Linked DNA regions of Saccharomyces cerevisiae S288C. The protein of the gene in region 2 purifies or fractionates together with the protein of the main gene of each other region. This does not show direct contact. Each region holds a gene or a part of one and is shown on either strand. Other genes may lie near its edges. The genes, in order: PRP9, LEA1 and CUS1.

Region 1 (3,758 bases), on a different chromosome or scaffold from region 2:
GAGCTATTTTTGGGGAAAAAAATTCTTCTAACACCAATGTACGATAGTCTAGTCGACGTGATGAAGAAAAGGTGGATAGATGAAGGAAAACCGGAATATCAATTTCAACCCCCAAAGCTTTCTTACACAAAAAGACTCGTTCTAGGTTCATGTCCAAGACTGGATGTTGAAGGCTTAGGTGATCTTTATAAGAATCTGATGTCCTCTAATTTTGACCTTCAGTTGGCGAAGAAAACAGCCATGAAGGCAGAAAAACTTTACTACAGAACACGCACTTCCGCCTCCCCTGAATCTTTAAAGAGAAGTAAAGAGATCATTTCTTCTGGCTGGGATGCTCAAAATGCATTTTTTGGTAAAAATGAAGAGAAGGAAAAATTGGATTTTTTGGCTAAATTGCAAAACAGAAGAAACAAGGAAACGGTATTTGAGTTCACCAGAAACCCAGACGATGAAATGGCAGTGTTTATGAAAAGGAGAAGAAAGCAATTAGCGCCAATTCAACGAAAGGCGACTGAAAGAAGGGAACTATTAGAAAAGGAAAGAATGGCTGGTCTTTCACATTCTATCGAAGATGAAATTTTGAAAGGTGACGATGGTGAGACAGGTTACACCGTGTCAGAGGATGCCTTAAAAGAATTTGAAGATGCGGACCAATTATTAGAAGCACAGGAAAACGAAAACAAAAAGAAAAAGAAACCGAAGTCTTTTAAGGATCCAACTTTCTTTTTAAGTCACTATGCGCCAGCTGGTGACATACAAGATAAACAATTACAGATAACCAATGGGTTCGCTAATGATGCTGCTCAAGCGGCTTACGATTTAAATAGCGATGATAAAGTGCAAGTTCATAAGCAAACAGCGACCGTAAAATGGGATAAAAAAAGAAAAAAATATGTTAATACTCAAGGTATTGATAACAAGAAATATATTATTGGTGAAAGTGGCCAAAAAATCGCGGCAAGCTTCAGGTCTGGTAGATTTGATGATTGGTCGAAGGCAAGAAATTTGAAACCATTGAAGGTAGGTTCGAGAGAAACAAGCATACCATCTAACTTGCTCGAAGACCCTTCACAAGGTCCTGCTGCAAATGGTAGAACCGTCCGTGGGAAATTCAAGCATAAACAAATGAAAGCGCCTAAAATGCCAGATAAACACAGAGACAATTATTATTCGCAAAAGAAGAAGGTGGAAAAGGCTCTACAAAGTGGAATTTCCGTCAAGGGATATAATAACGCTCCGGGTCTGCGAAGCGAATTGAAGTCCACTGAGCAAATTAGAAAGGACAGGATTATAGCAGAGAAAAAACGTGCGAAGAATGCTCGTCCTTCCAAAAAGCGTAAATTTTAGATAGTTTAAAACCATCTAGATCTACAGATATATAGTTTACATATGTACCATAGCAAGAAAACAAAAATAGATAGCGAGTCCGTTCTTCATAATTCTTTGTAGTTCTTTGTGATTTCAGTATTTTGTCGATGTAAGTCATGTTCAATATTTTTTTTGTAGCGCATTTTATTCTAACTTTCCGATGAGGCAACAAAGAAGTGTTAAGTATCGGCTGACGAAGTGCAATAAAAAGTACTTAGTTATACGGTAGATCAAGAACCTTCGGTGAGCCAAGCGAGGGTGTATACATTCATTTAATTTTGCTTTAATAGGAGTAGGAGGGCATCATCTCAATGAATTTACTTGAAACAAGGAGGTCCTTGTTGGAGGAGATGGAGATTATTGAAAATGCCATAGCAGAAAGAATTCAGCGGAATCCAGAGTTATATTACCACTATATACAAGAATCGAGCAAGGTGTTTCCTGATACTAAACTGCCTAGATCATCGTTGATTGCAGAGAATAAAATATACAAGTTTAAAAAGGTTAAGAGGAAGAGAAAACAGATAATTTTGCAGCAACATGAGATAAATATTTTTCTTCGAGACTACCAAGAGAAACAACAAACTTTTAATAAAATCAATCGTCCAGAAGAGACACAGGAGGATGACAAGGATTTGCCTAATTTCGAAAGAAAACTACAACAGCTAGAGAAGGAACTGAAAAATGAAGATGAGAACTTTGAATTGGATATCAACTCTAAAAAAGACAAATACGCTTTATTCTCATCTTCTTCTGATCCATCGAGGCGCACAAATATATTGTCTGACAGAGCTCGAGACCTAGACTTAAATGAAATATTTACTAGAGATGAGCAATATGGTGAATATATGGAGCTGGAACAATTTCATTCTTTATGGTTGAATGTAATTAAACGGGGCGATTGTTCACTGCTTCAATTTCTCGACATCCTAGAATTATTTTTGGACGACGAGAAATATTTGCTAACCCCACCGATGGATCGCAAGAATGATAGATACATGGCCTTTTTGCTAAAGTTGAGCAAATATGTAGAAACTTTTTTCTTCAAAAGTTATGCTTTGCTTGACGCTGCGGCAGTTGAAAATCTAATCAAATCTGACTTCGAACATTCATACTGTAGGGGATCTCTTCGGTCCGAGGCAAAAGGTATCTATTGCCCTTTTTGTTCGAGGTGGTTCAAGACATCTTCCGTTTTCGAAAGCCATTTAGTAGGGAAAATTCATAAGAAAAATGAATCTAAAAGAAGAAATTTTGTGTACTCTGAATATAAACTGCATCGGTATTTGAAATATTTAAATGATGAATTTTCTCGAACGAGAAGTTTTGTTGAAAGAAAACTGGCATTTACTGCAAATGAAAGAATGGCAGAAATGGATATCTTAACACAGAAGTATGAAGCACCTGCATATGATTCGACGGAAAAAGAGGGGGCCGAACAAGTGGATGGTGAGCAGAGAGATGGTCAACTGCAAGAAGAGCACCTCTCTGGTAAATCGTTTGACATGCCATTGGGTCCGGATGGATTGCCTATGCCATACTGGCTATACAAACTGCATGGGCTTGACAGAGAGTATCGCTGCGAAATTTGTTCGAATAAAGTTTATAATGGGCGACGCACTTTTGAAAGACATTTCAACGAAGAAAGACATATTTATCACTTGCGATGCCTTGGTATCGAACCTTCTTCAGTATTCAAGGGCATAACCAAAATTAAGGAGGCACAAGAGCTCTGGAAAAATATGCAGGGGCAGTCACAGTTGACATCTATTGCAGCAGTTCCCCCAAAGCCTAATCCTTCACAACTAAAAGTTCCTACAGAATTAGAACTAGAAGAAGAAGACGAAGAAGGAAATGTAATGAGTAAGAAGGTCTACGATGAACTTAAGAAGCAAGGTTTGGTGTGAAATCTCTCTGTGATATGTATATTTGTTTGATAGATAGCAGTTGTATGTATTTATACTATTCTTAGTAATGACCTTATTACCCGTCTTGTAGAATTGAAAGGCGAAAAACAATTTGAGGACCCATATAATGGAAGAAAACGGACGTGAAAGTTAAATATACGTACCAGAAGACAAATCACAGTAATAAACTAACAAAACTATATAATAATAATGGACCCACATAATCCAATTGGTATGTTGTTGATATTTTTAGTGTTTGTGGAGGCAATTGAGCTCGGTGCCCCTTTTGGCTTTGCCTCTTTTGCATTTTAGTTCTTTTACCCCTATATTATTAATACTAACCATCTCGATATAGTCCTTGATCAGGGTACTGGTTTCGTCAAAATTGGTCGTGCTGGCGAGAATTTCCCAGATTACACGTTTCCTTCTATTGTTGGTAGACCCATCTTGAGGGCGGAAGAACGTGCCAGCGTTGCTACACCATTA
Region 2 (3,375 bases):
TTCATGGAATAATTGATATAATGCGTCAATCAATTCGACATGGAATGAACCACTTCCTTGACAACGGGTGGAAGCCAACTTACCAGCTGATTTGTATAATAGGACAGCACCAACCACAGCATCAAACAGTTTTCCAGTGGAATCTAACCCACCGATAAAGGAAGCAATTGTAGAACCAAGTGAACATCCACTTGCAGTGATGTCACCCATGATAGGAATTGGGCCATCTTCAATTATTACACATGGAAGATCTTCAGCGGTTATTCCTTCTGTTCCTGATGAAAGTTTGTATTCGCCTCCAAAAGTACCATCAGCAACGCAATCAAACTCACCCGTGCAAACAGCAACAGTCCTGTATTGGAATGCCACAATTTGTGTAGCGCGCACAAGTGTGTCGATGTTCGTTTTGCCGCTGCTAGAGTCGACGCCCTTCATTTTATGGTTATTTAACTTGGCTAGAGACAGTATTTCACTGCAATTGCCCTTTATACAAGCAAATTGGCCGTAAGTGAGCAAAGTGTTGTTTAGACAGAGCCTTGTTTCAGTGGCGCTGTACCCGACCGGGTCAAAGGTGATGGGTCTATTTACTTCATTATAAGCATTAATTGCGGCTTTTAGCATTTCAATAGGTGCCACTGATCCGGTATTTAACAGTAAAGAAGCATTTGGGATTCTTGCTAGTTCAGATACTTCACTTTCAATTTCAGACATGATAGGAGATGAGCCTAAAGCTAGAGTGACATTGGCACCAAAATTTTGATGAACCTTATTGGTGATATGTTGCACTAATGGACGATTGTTTGATACTTGAGATATAACGTTTTGAATTGAAGTTGTGGTCGGAAATGTATTATTTAACTCGCACTCAACAAATTGGTATCTGGTAGCATCTAACAAGCCTCTCAACCTCTTGGTTGCTGCACATGCATCTGGAGCGGCCATAATATCGCTGACTAGAGAGATACCATCCAACGATCTCTTTCCATTTGAAGCAACACATTGACAAAGCACACGTTGAATATTGTCAGGATGAAGACCACCAATACCAACGGTTCTACACCATGTAGCTTTAAATTCCTCCAAAGCATCCAAAATGGCAATGGCGCCTTGAGGACCCATGGGTGATTTCTTAGGATTTTTCTTTGTTGATGTAGGGAAAAGAGTACCAACACCAATATAATCTACCATATCTGGCCCCCATTTAGCCAATGTCTCTACCTCCGAAGGTTTACCAACACTCCATCCAAGAATTTTAGAAGGGCCCAAAAGTTTTCTTACCATTGGGATTGGCATATCGTCCTGGCCCACATGAACCCCATCGGCGTCAATTGCCATAGCGACGTCTATACGGTCATTGATAATAAGTGGAACATTGTACTTCTTACATATTTTTTGAACTTCTAAAGCCTCTGCAACGAAATTTTTTGTTTCAATATCCTTTTCACGGATTTGAACTAGCGTTACACCATTTTTCAACCCAGCTTCAACCTGAGAACATAAAGTAGTTCCCGGTGGAAGCATGGTAGAATCTGTAACCAGATATAATGAGTAATCAACTTCTTCCTTAGTAAATACCATTTCCGCTGTTTGATTTAAATAATTTAGCTTCAGAGTGATTTGGTCTTGAGAACCATGGTTAGATCGAAAACTAGGCGCTTCCACAAGTAAATGGATGCGTTGCCGCTATAAATATATGTAGTATTGATTTTGTTACACCTGCTAAATAGGTTCTTACGATTGCCTTTTTCCTATAATATGCATAAATTATGTTGCCCTAAAAGAGTGAAATAAACCTTATCTATCTTTTTTTTGTTCCTGGTTTTCAAAGTTGATTTTCGACAGACCCTAGTTAATTATAGGAAAAAGCCCTATTAGTCTTTTTCTTATCATAGATGACATTTACTTATATTAGGCCAATCGCATACTCTGCATCCAACAAGCCTTCAACAGGTCGAAGTGAAACTACAGGACTTGGAAAATATCAGTTTTTATAAGCAATAATGAAGTTCACCCCTAGCATAGTTATTGATGCTCCGCAATATTATGTTGATCATTTTAATGGCAAGTATAACGTGGATAAATGTGTTATTTTAAGAGACCTGCAGCTAGAAACGGATTCAGAATCCATGCCATCCAGCTTAAAGCATTTGACCAAACCTACGCACATCTTGGATTTGACAAACAATGACCTTATCATGATTCCAGATCTATCAAGAAGAGACGATATACATACATTACTGTTGGGCCGAAACAATATCGTTGAAGTAGACGGTCGCCTATTGCCTATGAATGTACAGAACCTTACATTATCGAATAACAGCATAAGAAGGTTTGAAGATCTTCAAAGGTTGCGTAGAGCGCCCAGGACGTTGAAGAATCTAACTTTAATAGGGAATCAAGTATGTCATTTAGCCAATTATAGAGAACATGTACTTCGATTAGTACCGCATTTAGAGACTTTAGACTTTCAAAACGTAACAGCTGAGGAAAGAAAGAGCGCAATGAGCTTTCCAAGGCAGGCGGACGGCGATACGTTGGGCCCAGTAAATACTGCAATAAGAGATAATGGATCCAGAGATAAAACGATGGAGATCATGAATTTGGTGGTGAGTAAGATGACAGTAGAGAGAAGAAATGAATTGAAAAAGCAGTTAGCAGAAGCTACTTCTTTAGAAGAGATTGCCAGGCTGGAAAAACTACTCTCTGGTGGTGTTTAATCTTTTGGTTAGTGCGACTGTTCAATGACTTAAAAAAAAAGAATTATAAATTATTCTGTGCCATTATATAATAATATATAAAACGAAAACAAATAATGGTGCTCTATAAACATTAGAGGACAATGTCAATTTCAATGTCAATGCCTTAGAAATTAAAGTTGGTAAGAAAGAAGGAAAGGGCAACCTAATTAGCTGCCGCTTCCGGTTGTACTTCAGGTTCGTTGCTCTGAGTGGTGCTGGATATTTCAGCCTTTTTACTAGCAGCTTCCTCCTCTTCCATTCTTTTTCTTTGCTTAATCTTCTTATTGCTCTCGGGCGCATCAGTAAGACCTGGGATACCCTTAGCTGTCAAGAATTCGAAGATACTCTTTTGCACAGCAGGTCCCGATTTATCGGCAGTTTCTTCTCCCTGTGCTCCAGTAACCTTGTTGAAACTATCAATATAACTAAAGAACGCATTAAAAACATTTTCGTCCACCTCTTCCTTGTAGATCTTATCGTAGATATGCTTCATTTTGAACTTATCCACTTCGTCTTGATATTTGGAAAAATCGATCGCCTTGTAACCAAACTGTTCTAGTCTTTTATTATAACCTTCAAATACTGGAGCTTCTAACAATAATCCTAATGCAGGTGCCTTCGGAATATTAATCTTCTG
Region 3 (3,566 bases), on a different chromosome or scaffold from region 2:
AATGTTTGGCAACTGGGGTTTCACCAGTCATTCTGGCGACAAATTCCTTCGCCATATCACCAAAACCAACCATGAAGACAGTTTGCCAGATACCTAAACCAATTCTTGGGGTGACACCACGGTAAAGACCCTTTAGACCATTTGATTGATAGATGTATTTAAATGTCTTACCAACAGTCAAATTTTTTGGTCTGTTTGGATCTTCCTTCTTAGATTGCATTTCAACTCTAATGACTTCGATTGGTTGATTCCAAGCACTTAAACCACCACCTAAAGCACTGGCACCAATTTTCTCGAACGGATTCAACTTGTCGTCTTTATTGGTTTTCCCGGTGATCTTTCTGATACCATCTTCCACTAGTCTGGACAAACCAAAACGAGAACCCCAGTTGGTCATTTGTCTAATAGCAACAGCATTAACACCCTTATTAATACCTCTAATACCTTCCTTTTTATAAATATTCTTGAACACACTCCAAGAAGATTGTGGGACACCACCTGCGGAGGCAGATTTATGTCTTGTAATTTCCACCGTTTTCATACAGGTACAGAACCCCATGGTTAAGTAGGCTTGAGTGACACCACCCGTGACACCACCTAATATACCTGAGGCAAAGTTGTTCAACCCCAAACTTTTGAAACGATACTCAGCCTCAGCTGACACGAACAGCAACACAGCACCTTTAGTGGAGGCTTCGATCCATGCCCATGGAATCAAACCTTGGTAGTAACCCAAGATACCACCTCTTGACCAGACATGCTTAACAGATTCTAAAAATGTGAAGTTTCTGTTTGCAGCCATTGTGGTCTTAACAACCTCCAAAGGTTGCCCTAATGTAGTCACCTCTGACAAGTTTAAACAGGCACCCAATAGGATATTAGAAAACGAGACTGGCTTTTTTTCTATTACGTTTGCTGCAGCAGTATTAGTGGTAGATGGCATAGCTATAATGACGTCGGGCTTTTCCTAGCTTTATTTGTACAAAAGACTTATATAAAAAGATTGTATCAGCGCTGTTTATATCTCAATGAAAGTAGATATATATACCGTAAGCGAGTTGAAACAATGACTTGAGGTGGGCAGCTTCGGACTTTTTGCAAAATTCAAATCCGAATATCTAGAAGATTGTATTGACAGCGTTTTTTAAATGTCCGTAGATTTCTCGAGATATATAAATGTTACAGAAGGTAAGATCCATGCAAGAGGCTAATGCGTTTTTCTTTTTTTTTTTTAGAGTGCGATATCTTGTCATAAGTTTACACAATGGGACAAAGGAAGCTAAAACATGAGTGCAAAAGAAGGGCCCATGTTTGTCGCCCTATGCATTTAGCCAATCATCTTTTTTTTTTGCGTGATCTTTATCAATCGTGATTCTCTGCCTTCTGAGTGAAAAAAGTCATGATCTTCGCGTTATTGCAGCGGAATTTGCCGACAGGACCTAGGTCTTGAGAAAGAAAAGTGATAGGGTAAGTAATGGAAGAAGAGGGCACAGGTCCAATCACGCAGCTTCATTACAGGGCTATAATTGCAAGAATAATAACTTTCAACCATATAGAAATCCAATACAGTATATTGGTATTGTTTAGAAAGGTATTAAGAAGGCAGTAGCATACAGAGTATATATCTATAGGCAGAGCATCAGATCATAAAGATAGTGGTGAAATGGCTAGAACCAAAAGTAGGAAGCGTTCCGGAAATAACCAAAATAAGAATGCGTCTGTGGTAAATAATAAGGCTGAGATCGCCGCCATGATTGATGCAAGAAGGCTTGAGCAAAAGAAAAAGGGTGGGGTGACTAACAGCAAAGGAAAGACGAATAAGGTAGTGGATGCGAAGTTAGAAAAAGAGTTCAAAGACGTTTTACAACGATTTCAAGTGCAAGAGAATGATACGCCGAAGGAAATCACGAAAGATGAAAAGAACAATCATGTCGTTATTGTTGAGAAAAACCCAGTTATGAACAGAAAGCATACAGCAGAAGATGAATTGGAGGATACACCCTCGGATGGTATTGAGGAGCATCTATCGGCAAGAAAACGTAGGAAGACTGAAAAACCTTCACTTTCGCAGTTAAAAAGCCAGGTACCGTATCCTCAAATTATAGAATGGTACGATTGTGACGCAAGATATCCAGGCTTACTAGCGTCAATTAAGTGCACCAAAAATGTCATTCCTGTTCCAAGCCACTGGCAGTCCAAGAAGGAATATCTATCTGGCCGTTCTCTGTTAGGTAAAAGACCTTTTGAACTTCCTGACATTATCAAGAAGACAAATATAGAACAAATGAGATCGACGCTTCCGCAAAGCGGACTGGATGGTCAAGATGAAAAGTCACTAAAGGAGGCCTCAAGAGCAAGAGTGCAGCCGAAAATGGGCGCCTTGGATTTGGATTACAAGAAGTTACACGATGTGTTTTTCAAGATAGGAGCCAACTGGAAACCTGACCATTTGTTATGCTTCGGTGACGTCTATTATGAAAATAGGAATCTTTTCGAGGAAACGAACTGGAAAAGAATGGTTGATCATAAGAGACCGGGGAGAATTAGCCAAGAGCTTCGTGCCATAATGAATTTACCCGAAGGTCAACTACCACCATGGTGTATGAAGATGAAAGACATTGGATTACCTACGGGATATCCTGATCTGAAAATTGCCGGCTTGAATTGGGATATAACGAATTTAAAAGGCGACGTTTACGGAAAAATAATCCCTAATCACCATTCAAGGTCCAAGAAACAGGGTAGAAACTATTTTGGCGCATTGATCTCATTTGAAACCCCTGAATTTGAAAATTCAAAAGAGGATACACAGGCGAATGCGGAAAATGGGCGCCAAGATGACAAAATCGATGATGAAGTAGAGCATAAGTTAGATCACTTCCAGGAAGACATATCCGAAGTGACAAGCGCAGAAGAAAAACTTGAGAGAAACGAAGAGGAATCGGAGAAGCAACTATATACTGTATTGAAATAACTACTAAATATCGCATAGGTACTTCAGTTTTACAAAATTTTACATGTGGTACTATTTCTCACGTACGAGTTTTTTTCTTTTTTAAATGCGGCCCTAAACCATGCTGAAATTTTTCATGAGCTCATCGCAAAATTTATCTCATTATCAGGTCATATAGTCACTCTCAGGAGAATCCTGCTCGATCAAAGTGAGGCAAGTAAATGCGCATATAGAAGAGAGCAAAACTGTCCTATTTACAAGCTTTTCAAAACAATGGGCTCAAAAGTAGCAGGTAAAAAGAAAACCCAGAATGATAATAAACTAGATAACGAAAATGGTTCACAGCAGCGCGAAAATATCAATACCAAGACGCTTTTGAAAGGCAACCTTAAGATATCAAATTACAAATATCTTGAGGTGATTCAACTAGAACATGCTGTGACAAAATTGGTGGAGTCTTACAATAAAATAATTGAACTTTCACCAAATTTGGTAGCTTACAATGAAGCCGTTAACAATCAAGATAGAGTGCCTGTTCAGATACTTCCTTCTCTATCACGTTATCAATTAAAACTGGCAGCTGAATTAAAAACCTTACATGATCTTAAAAAAG

The links.
Region 1: the proteins of LEA1 (region 2) and PRP9 purify together in Saccharomyces cerevisiae (affinity purification with mass spectrometry; 6 studies listed by BioGRID, with this or other methods). This does not show direct contact.
Region 3: the proteins of LEA1 (region 2) and CUS1 purify together in Saccharomyces cerevisiae (affinity purification with mass spectrometry; 7 studies listed by BioGRID, with this or other methods). This does not show direct contact.

Annotation. Positions count from the first base shown.
Region 1 is NC_001136.10:395,858-399,615, forward strand, and holds PRP9 (SF3a splicing factor complex subunit PRP9), read left to right. Parts: upstream 1-1,679; coding exon 1,680-3,272; downstream 3,273-3,758. Other genes in the region: ATP-dependent RNA helicase DBP10, read left to right, coding at 1-1,347; ARP2 (actin-related protein 2), read left to right, coding at 3,483-3,504, 3,628-3,758. UniProt on the Saccharomyces cerevisiae protein: mRNA splicing factors, PRP9, PRP11, and PRP21, are necessary for binding of the U2 snRNP to the pre-mRNA in an early step of spliceosome assembly.
Region 2 is NC_001148.4:148,614-151,988, forward strand, and holds LEA1 (U2 snRNP complex subunit LEA1), read left to right. Parts: upstream 1-2,000; coding exon 2,001-2,717; downstream 2,718-3,375. Other genes in the region: THI6 (bifunctional hydroxyethylthiazole kinase/thiamine-phosphate diphosphorylase), read right to left, coding at 1-1,578; pseudouridine synthase PUS1, read right to left, coding at 2,902-3,375. UniProt on the Saccharomyces cerevisiae protein: Involved in pre-mRNA splicing. Associates to U2 snRNA in a MSL1 dependent manner and is required for normal accumulation of U2 snRNA. Required for the spliceosome assembly and the efficient addition of U2 snRNP onto the pre-mRNA.
Region 3 is NC_001145.3:749,338-752,903, reverse strand, and holds CUS1 (U2 snRNP complex subunit CUS1), read left to right. Parts: upstream 1-1,663; coding exon 1,664-2,974; downstream 2,975-3,566. Other genes in the region: YHM2 (Yhm2p), read right to left, coding at 1-943; RNT1 (ribonuclease III), read left to right, coding at 3,227-3,566. UniProt on the Saccharomyces cerevisiae protein: Essential splicing protein required for U2 snRNP binding to pre-mRNA during spliceosome assembly.